2 linked regions of the Bombyx mori genome follow. The protein of the gene in region 2 purifies or fractionates together with the protein of the main gene of each other region. This does not show direct contact. Links are inferred from orthologs where the notes say so. Each region holds a gene or a part of one and is shown on either strand. Other genes may lie near its edges. The genes, in order: intraflagellar transport protein 122 homolog and WD repeat-containing protein 19.

What was found.
Region 1: the proteins of WD repeat-containing protein 19 (region 2) and intraflagellar transport protein 122 homolog purify together in Homo sapiens (affinity purification with mass spectrometry; 4 studies listed by BioGRID and IntAct, counting the BioPlex papers as one, with this or other methods). This does not show direct contact. The link is inferred for Bombyx mori from reciprocal best matches to the Homo sapiens genes WDR19 and IFT122.

What each region holds. Positions count from the first base shown.
Region 1 is NC_085107.1:13,135,126-13,139,406, reverse strand, and holds the start of intraflagellar transport protein 122 homolog, read left to right. Parts: upstream 1-1,424; 5' UTR 1,425-1,508; intron 1,509-1,606; 5' UTR 1,607-1,650; coding exon 1,651-1,712; intron 1,713-1,951; coding exon 1,952-2,182; intron 2,183-2,426; coding exon 2,427-2,637; intron 2,638-2,950; coding exon 2,951-3,098; intron 3,099-4,281. UniProt on the Homo sapiens protein: As a component of the IFT complex A (IFT-A), a complex required for retrograde ciliary transport and entry into cilia of G protein-coupled receptors (GPCRs), it is required in ciliogenesis and ciliary protein trafficking.
Region 2 is NC_085119.1:3,216,650-3,220,478, forward strand, and holds part of WD repeat-containing protein 19, read right to left. Parts: intron 2,824-3,829; coding exon 2,599-2,823; intron 2,161-2,598; coding exon 1,950-2,160; intron 1,765-1,949; coding exon 1,484-1,764; intron 608-1,483; coding exon 348-607; intron 1-347. UniProt on the Homo sapiens protein: As component of the IFT complex A (IFT-A), a complex required for retrograde ciliary transport and entry into cilia of G protein-coupled receptors (GPCRs), it is involved in cilia function and/or assembly.

The sequences.
Region 1 (4,281 bases), on a different chromosome or scaffold from region 2:
AAGGATGATGGGAAATAAGTTATTTTGTTGGCATCAGCGTTAATTTTACGTCTACTTCTCACGCGCTAAGATTCCACGATAAGAACGATTCTGCCCTCCAGGTACGACGGCGTGCGACTACTACTACATAGGCATGTTGCAGAGCCGTTTCCCTTTACAACTTGTAGACCCGTCCCATGGGCCAGACATCGTCGATGGCTTTCTCGATATTGAGATAAGTGACTGCCGAAACGCTGTTGAATTTTCCCGAACGTTCGTGCCTTACGATCTCTAGTAATCTTATGATTTTTCAAAGTCGTTCAGCTTGTCCCTTGGTATTAGTTTAAAATTTTATTGTTTGCTTGCGCACTATTCTGTTAGTGCCACTATTGGTTAAGAAATAGCACAGGTTGTCATTTCTGTTATAAAATAAGAATATATACCAGGGTTCGCCAAATGGCGGACCACGGTCCGCATCCGGACAGAGCAACTTCCACTACAGGGTATGGAAGTGTCTAGTGCAGAGTTCTGCATAAAATTTGTGTGTGGTGATAAATATTCAGAAAAAAAATAGCTTTGCAACTTCTTACTTTGCTTGGATCAACATATATTGGCGAAATAACATTTTCGTAGATGCACTTCAACAAGAACAAATTTCGATCACGACTTACTGATGAACATCTCCAGGATTTAACGTGAATAACTTGCACCAAATTACTTCAAACTTCAGACAGATAGTCCGCAACAAAAAATAGAATTTTTCTCATGGATATAATAAAATACTTTTATTATTTCCGTTATTACATTTGTTAAGTAAATCTTTTTTCTTTAAAATATTGTACATACCGCGATGTTAATTTCCTAAAACAGACCTCAACCGAAACTAATCGGTAACTTTCATATTGGGTATATATTTCTTAAAAACTTTCAATACTAATGAAATTTTTTCGATTTTCCTAGAAAGTTGTTGGACGTTTAAAGTTGAGGCGATTGGGTTCTGGAGGTGAGGGGCTATTTAAAAACAACTCTGCTTCATGGTTAGTATAATTTATATAGGCAAACACTTTGTGCACTATTACACCATTACAATATTTTATTTTTATAAAACCCTAAGATGTTGCACTGTCCGTGTCTAGATGAGAAGTCATTGTCTTCACTGAAGAGAAGACAATCATCTGTTTTAAATATTTAAATACTTAAGCGTTCCAATATTCGAAAACTGTAACCTTATAAGTGTTAAGTGTTGCCTGCCATTACTTACATATTCAAACTACAACAAAAGTCCATTGAATCCTTAGTAAATCTAACTACTACAAAAAATACGGTGTTGTTTTATTTTAATTAATTTCGCTCCATTTACTAATCATTTATATGAAAATCTTTTGTAACAAATATTTGAAGTAATAACCTATGTTTCCTTTGCCTATCTAGTGTCCTATGGAGACAAAAAAATCTTTTAAATAATAAACAATTTTATGTAATCTAAATACAACTTTGTTTGTATGTACGTATCACTACGGCTACGTACGGTACGGTACATTTATAAAAGTATAAGACTCATTCTATACAGTTTCAAAAAATAAAGTACCTAAACCGAGCTTAAATTAAGTAGAAATTTTGTTTTTAGGATTACAATTTTTTCACATTGTAGTTTACCACCGATAAACAAAAATGAGAACGTTACCAAAATGGGTAAATAAAATTCACGAAGCTGACAAAATTGAGTTTTCTAGGTATGAATCGTGTAACAACTTTGACTTTAAAATAAATAAAAATCATTAATTGATAAACCTAATATAAACAATTAATACACACAAAAACATAATTATTACATTAAAGTTAACATCTTGAACTCAACAGAAGTCGCAATCAACATGATATGACTATACTCATGATTGACTCATGATTTACTCAATAGGCTCGGAAAGCATTATTTGTGAACGAGTTTTACAGTTGGAATTAATTATTTCAGTGTCCACACATTATGCTTCAGTCCAGATGGAAGCCAGCTGGTAGTTGGAGCTGGAGAGAAGGTTATGGTTTATGATCCTAGGGATGGATCTCTTCTACAACTGCTGCAGGCCCATAAAGGGGCAGTTCATGCTGTAGCTTATTGTGGAGATGGCAAGAAATTTGCAAGTGGTAGTGCTGACAGGAATGTTATTATTTGGACATCAAAAATGGAAGGCATATTGAAATATTCGTTAGTTGATTATATTTACTTGGCAGATGAGTAATGTTTAGTTAAGAATTTGCAGTGATTCGGGGTAATGAAATTTCCAGATATTGAAACATGGGATAGTTGTAAATTTTTGTTTCATCTCATTGTAGATAAAAGTGTTCTGAATATTATTCAAGCACAATGTATTTTATTGATCATGATTATTTTTTGTTGCTATATTGTGTCCTTCAAAGAGTTTTTTTTGTTTTTTTTTTCTCTCTTTTAGACACAGTGAAGCAATACAGTGTCTCGCCTACAACCCTGTAACATTTCATTTGGCCTCATGTGCCATTTCTGATTTTGCTTTCTGGTCAATGGACATAAAAGCTGTTCAGAAACATAAAGTTTCTGGGAGAATAACAAGTTGTGCTTGGTCACCAAATGGGCAATATCTGGTAATTGGTTTAGCAAGTGGTGCTGTAACTTTTAGGGATAAAGTAAGTAATCTATTTGTTCACTATTTTGATTTTATTAAAGTCTATAAAATATGTTGAATTAAGCACACTTACCTTGTATTTAAATTTACTTCTGAAAAATATAGCTCTTAATAATTCTTCCTATAATTTTTTTTTTTAAATTACTTCATTGAAATATGCATTGTAGCAATTACTCAATGATTTTTAGTACAACTGGTAGCTGTTGAGATTTCTAACTGTAGATTCAATGTACTATTGTCCTAGTTTCTTAGTGTTTTTAATAGCTTTTATAATTTTATGTGTTTTATTTTTGCTAAACCAATATTTTTTTTAGGTAGGCAATGAAATACAACGAATTCTGAGAGAAGCTGCAGTTTGGGCGGTTGCCTTCTCAAAAATGACTTTACTTGTCACTGATTGGAATGAAACACTTTCTTTTTATACAATACAGGGTCAGCAAACACTAAAAGAAAGAAATATTGGTAATATGCATATTTACACCTCAAAATGTCATTAATATAAAATGAAATTAAAAAAGGATCCCGACCATCAGGCAATCCTCAGCTATGCCCTTGTCATTACTTTTACCCATTGGTTTTATGACTCGTATCAATGATTCATATGTGATCTGGCTTAAGAATGAAAATTAACTATTGTATTTAAAACAATAAAAATGGTAAACAAACTAGTTTAATCAATAGAAATAGAAATTGTAATTTTTTATAGACTTCATCAGATGCCACATTTAAACTAGTACCGTAGATTGGGGGGAATAGGAACTAGGGGTAGAATCAGGGATGTCTTAAACTAGGATGGGGCCCTTGGGCACACAAGAATTTGAGGCCCTTTTGGAAAGTAAAAAAAGCGAATTATAATAACATTTTTTTACTGAGTATGACCATTTATTATAGGTAATCAAATACAGTATGATATAATATGTTATTAATGATATTAGAATGCTGCTGGTTTTTTGGTTACAATTTCGATAACGGTTTCTTTCGGGATTTCTGTTGAGCAAAATCTTCTATTATAGTGATTTGTGAAAAAAGTGTAATGTGCCCGAAAAAATGTTTTGAGAATAAACGTGTGAGAGAAACTGTCGGTCTTTCGGGGCCCCCTGAGAATGGGGGCCCTGGGCACGGGCCCCGTGTGCCCTTATGGTAAAGACGGTATTGGGTAGAATAGGGACAAATCTGGGTTGTCACAATGCCTTTTTGAGATTTAAATTTGTTGAATTGAAAATAACTTTTATTTAGTGCTTAAGAATATTACATAGCTTAATTTGGTCATAGTCATTTGTAACTGATTATAGATATTGAAAAGTTAAATACCTAAAGGTAAGAATCTATCTAACAACTAAACAGTACCAGCCCTATCGAAAACTCTATTGTCCCCATACATGCCCTGATTCACCCCAAAAGCCGAGGTGGATCAGGTCAAGCTAGTTTTTTAAGTTTAATGTATATTTTTTAATGAACTATGTTAATGTATTTTATATGAAAATTTTAACCTCCGCAACCATTTTAATTTCAATTTTATTGGGATTAATTACCCTAAGATAAACGCTCTGAAAATTTGTGTTGGAATTGAAAAGCGTCCCTATTCCCCCCAATCTATTGTAGACACAATAATTATGTATTTAATACTTTGTGCAAACTTTTTCAT
Region 2 (3,829 bases):
GTGGGTGGCGCATTTACGTTGTGGATGTCTATGGGCTCCAGTAACCACTTAACACCAGATGGGCTGTGAGCTCGACCACCGATCTAAGAAAAAAAAAAAAAAAAAAAAAAAAAAAACGATAGAGACCAGTCGATATAAAATAGTAATACTAAACTACGTACCATAAAATAGCACAAAATCGACCCAAACTCAAATACTAAATATTCATTCGGTAGCATTAGCATCGTCTATAAACTCTAGTAGGTATCGCCTAGAATTAGGAGGATCGTATACGAATGAGAAAAATAGTCCAAAGATTAACTCAATTTAGTTAAGCAAATTAATATTAAGCTCACCAATCAACTTACATTTATTAATAGGTTCGGGGGCATCCTCGACCCCGATGCACTGGTAAACCGTGACTTCAGTGAGACTGGTCAGAGTGAGAGCTCTGGTTCCGTATGTAGCGTACAGGGGGGGTAGCGTGGTCACGTAAACGTTCAGGTACCCTCGCCCGGAAGTCGCTAGTAACCTTCCGTCGGAGCTCCACCCGCAACGCTCGGCTCCCCCCGTCGGCATCACCGATCCACTCACCTCACCATTATTCCAAACTGAGATCAACTTTAACCTGAACAGTAAAGCATTCATTATTACTGGTGGTAGGACCTCTTGTGAATCCGCACGGGTAGGTACCACCACCCTGCTTATTTCTGCCGCGAAGCAGTAATGCGTTTCGGTTTGAAGGGTGGGGCAGCCGTTGTAACTATACTGAGGTCTAAGAACTTATATCTCAAGGTGGGTGGCGCATTTACATTGTAGATATCCATGGGCTCCAGTAACCACTTAACACCAGGTGGGCTGTGAGCTAGTCCAGCCATCTAAGCAACAAATAAAAAATTTAAAAAAAATTGACAGCAAGAGATGCTACGAATGTACAACTCGACCAAGCTAAGTTTGCTTTTTTTTTTTCCTACCTAAGCTTGTAGTCTTGAGAGGCTATTCCAGCGTAACCTTAATTAGCAGGTGAGCTCACGGGGCTCAAACCTGACGACGTTGCTAACACGAACCCTAGCAAGAGCCGTGCTTCGCAGAATCTACCAACGGATCGGAAACGCGACCCACTGAGAAGATCCGGCGAGAAACTCAGTGGGCTGTGTCTGAGGGTTAATTTACTCGTCGAGCCCTTCGTCGCAAGCGACGGGTTCGACGAGAACGGTGACCGGTGCTTGAAGTACCTAAAAGCACCGTTAGTGGATCGGATAATATAACTAAACTTCAACAAAAAACCTAACAAGAACAGTAAAAAAAAATTAAATTGTTTTTTTACTGTTCAAATTCAACGGATAGGGAGACGAAAACTCGTATGTCGCGTGTCGGCGACAAAGATGCTAACCGTACTGACGCGACAGGACGATCGCGGGACGCGGGCGGCGCGCCGCATTCCAGCGAGGTGCAAACTTAGCTTGGTCCAGTTGTACACATATAACTATGAATTAATACGCACTGTCCATCCCCACACGAAGCGGCCTGCCCGTTACACACCGCTATGTCGGTCAAACTATCTTTATGGTTCTTGACCTGAAACAATTCTTCGCCGACCTCTTTGATGTGTGTCGATATTGATATGATGAATCCAGCACTGAACCCTATAAGAATGTAACCATCGCCATACCATTTGTACGAAACTATGGAACCATAACGTTGTTGGAATGCTAACTCTATTGGGTTGTCGGGATTCAAAAGATTGTAAAGATATAATGTGCGTTTCCCAACAATAAGGCTTACCTGAAAGAAAAAAATACTGTTTATGTTAAAAAAACAAAAATGCACATAATAAAACGCGATTAAGACAAGACAATAGCAAATTTAATACGATAAGGTTGATTTTAAACAAAACTCATGATTTTGGCTTTATTGTTTCTTCTTTATTTTCATGGATTTCAAACACCACAATAGCACCAAAAACTTACTGTATTTTCCCCTGCAACTCGTTCATCTGTCTTCATCTCAGAAACTTGCAAATCATTAGGAGTATCCCTTAGTGATATTATCCTGAGTGTGTCTCCATCTGAATTATTTATGGACAATGTCTTATCTTCTGAAGCAAGTATAAGTATGTTGTCTTTATTCCATACAGCACAACATATCTTTTTACTGTGTTTCCCTATTATTGGAATTCTCCTGGAATAGAATTTAATAATTACTGGTGGTTGGACGTCTTCTGAGTCCGTGCAGGTACCTACCACCAACTTATCTATTTTTGTCATGAAGCAGTAATGCATTTCGATTAGAACTCATGTCTCAAGGTTGGTGGTGGCATTCACTTTATTAATGTATGGGCCCCGGATGACAACTTAGTATCAGGTGGGCCATGAACTCGTACTCCCATCGAAACAGCAAAAAAAATTTAAATGTTAGATTAGCAACTCTAAAATGAATTATATCTTTACTGCTTTCACCTAACGCATGATTTAAGATTATAAAAAAGATAGATCATACAATAGAAATAGAAGGTATGGAAAGTTTTCCGCGTGAGCAGTAACTGCTGCTTGTGAATTGGAATTAGCTATTAATTTTCAAAGTCTACATCAATCAATAAAAGCGATGATTCTTACTCACTTTGTGGTATGATGATTATAAAGGGCTAAATTCCCTTTATGTGTACCAACTGCTAGTAAAGGTTCTTCGTAAGCCCAAGCAAGACACGAAGGTGGTTCACGCAGGCCCGTCTCAATGTTCAACCGTTTATTAGCATGGCATTCCCAAAGTAAAACTGCATTACTATTAGGTGTAATAATGGCTAGATAATCTCCATCGTTGTCCCATTCCATATCTGCACATAGTCTGGAAGTTTATAACTTAACCATAAATTATTTGTGTGATTTAAGTGTACATAAATAAAAAATGAAATGCGCATTGAATAACATTTTATTTTATTTTTATTTTTTTATTACTTAGATGGCTGAACGAGCTCATAGTCCAACTGGTTTTAAGTGGTTACCGGAACCCATAGACGTTTACAACGTAAATGCCGCCACCCACGTTGTGATATGAGTTCTAAGGTCTAAGTATAGTTATAATTAGAGAACACTTGCATCAATCAGGATTTTTTATTATTATTATTGCTGAGGTGGGTGGACGAACTCACGGCCCACCTGGTGTTAAGTGGTTACCGGAATCCATAGACTCTACCACGTAAGAGACAATCTACAACGTAATGCCAACACCCACCTTGAGATATGAATTCTAAGGTCTCAGTATACCTAGGCGGCACTGAAAATTTCGGGAATTAACGAAGTGACACAACATTACTATTTAAAAATGTATTTATTGCTTTTCGAAGTATTCTCCGCGAAATTTGACACATTTTTCCATACGATGGAACCAATCATTGAAGCAACCATTCCATTCGGAAGTTGGGGTCTCCAAAATGGCCGTTTTGTAAGCGTCCACAGCTTCTTCAGGTGATGAAAATCTCTGTCCACGCAATTTATTCTTTATTTTAGGGAAAGTATAGAAATCATTAGGGCTTAGGTCGGGGCTGTACGGCGGATGGTCTAATAATTCTATGTTTTCTTGCTCTAAAAACTCTTTTGTTCTGTGCGCGGTGTGAGAACTCGCATTGTCGTGATGGAGGATGATGCGGCGGTTGCAGTTCTCTTTACGGAGTTCAGAAACGACCTGTGGCAAACAAATGCTAGCATACCATTCTGCATTAACCGTTCTTTGTCCCTCAACAGGAATAGTCGTAACATGGCCAGTTTTGGAGACAAACGTGGCCACCATTTTTTTTTGCAACACTCCGTGAAGGAACAATTTTTGTTGGCTTTAACTCATTTTCGAACACCCA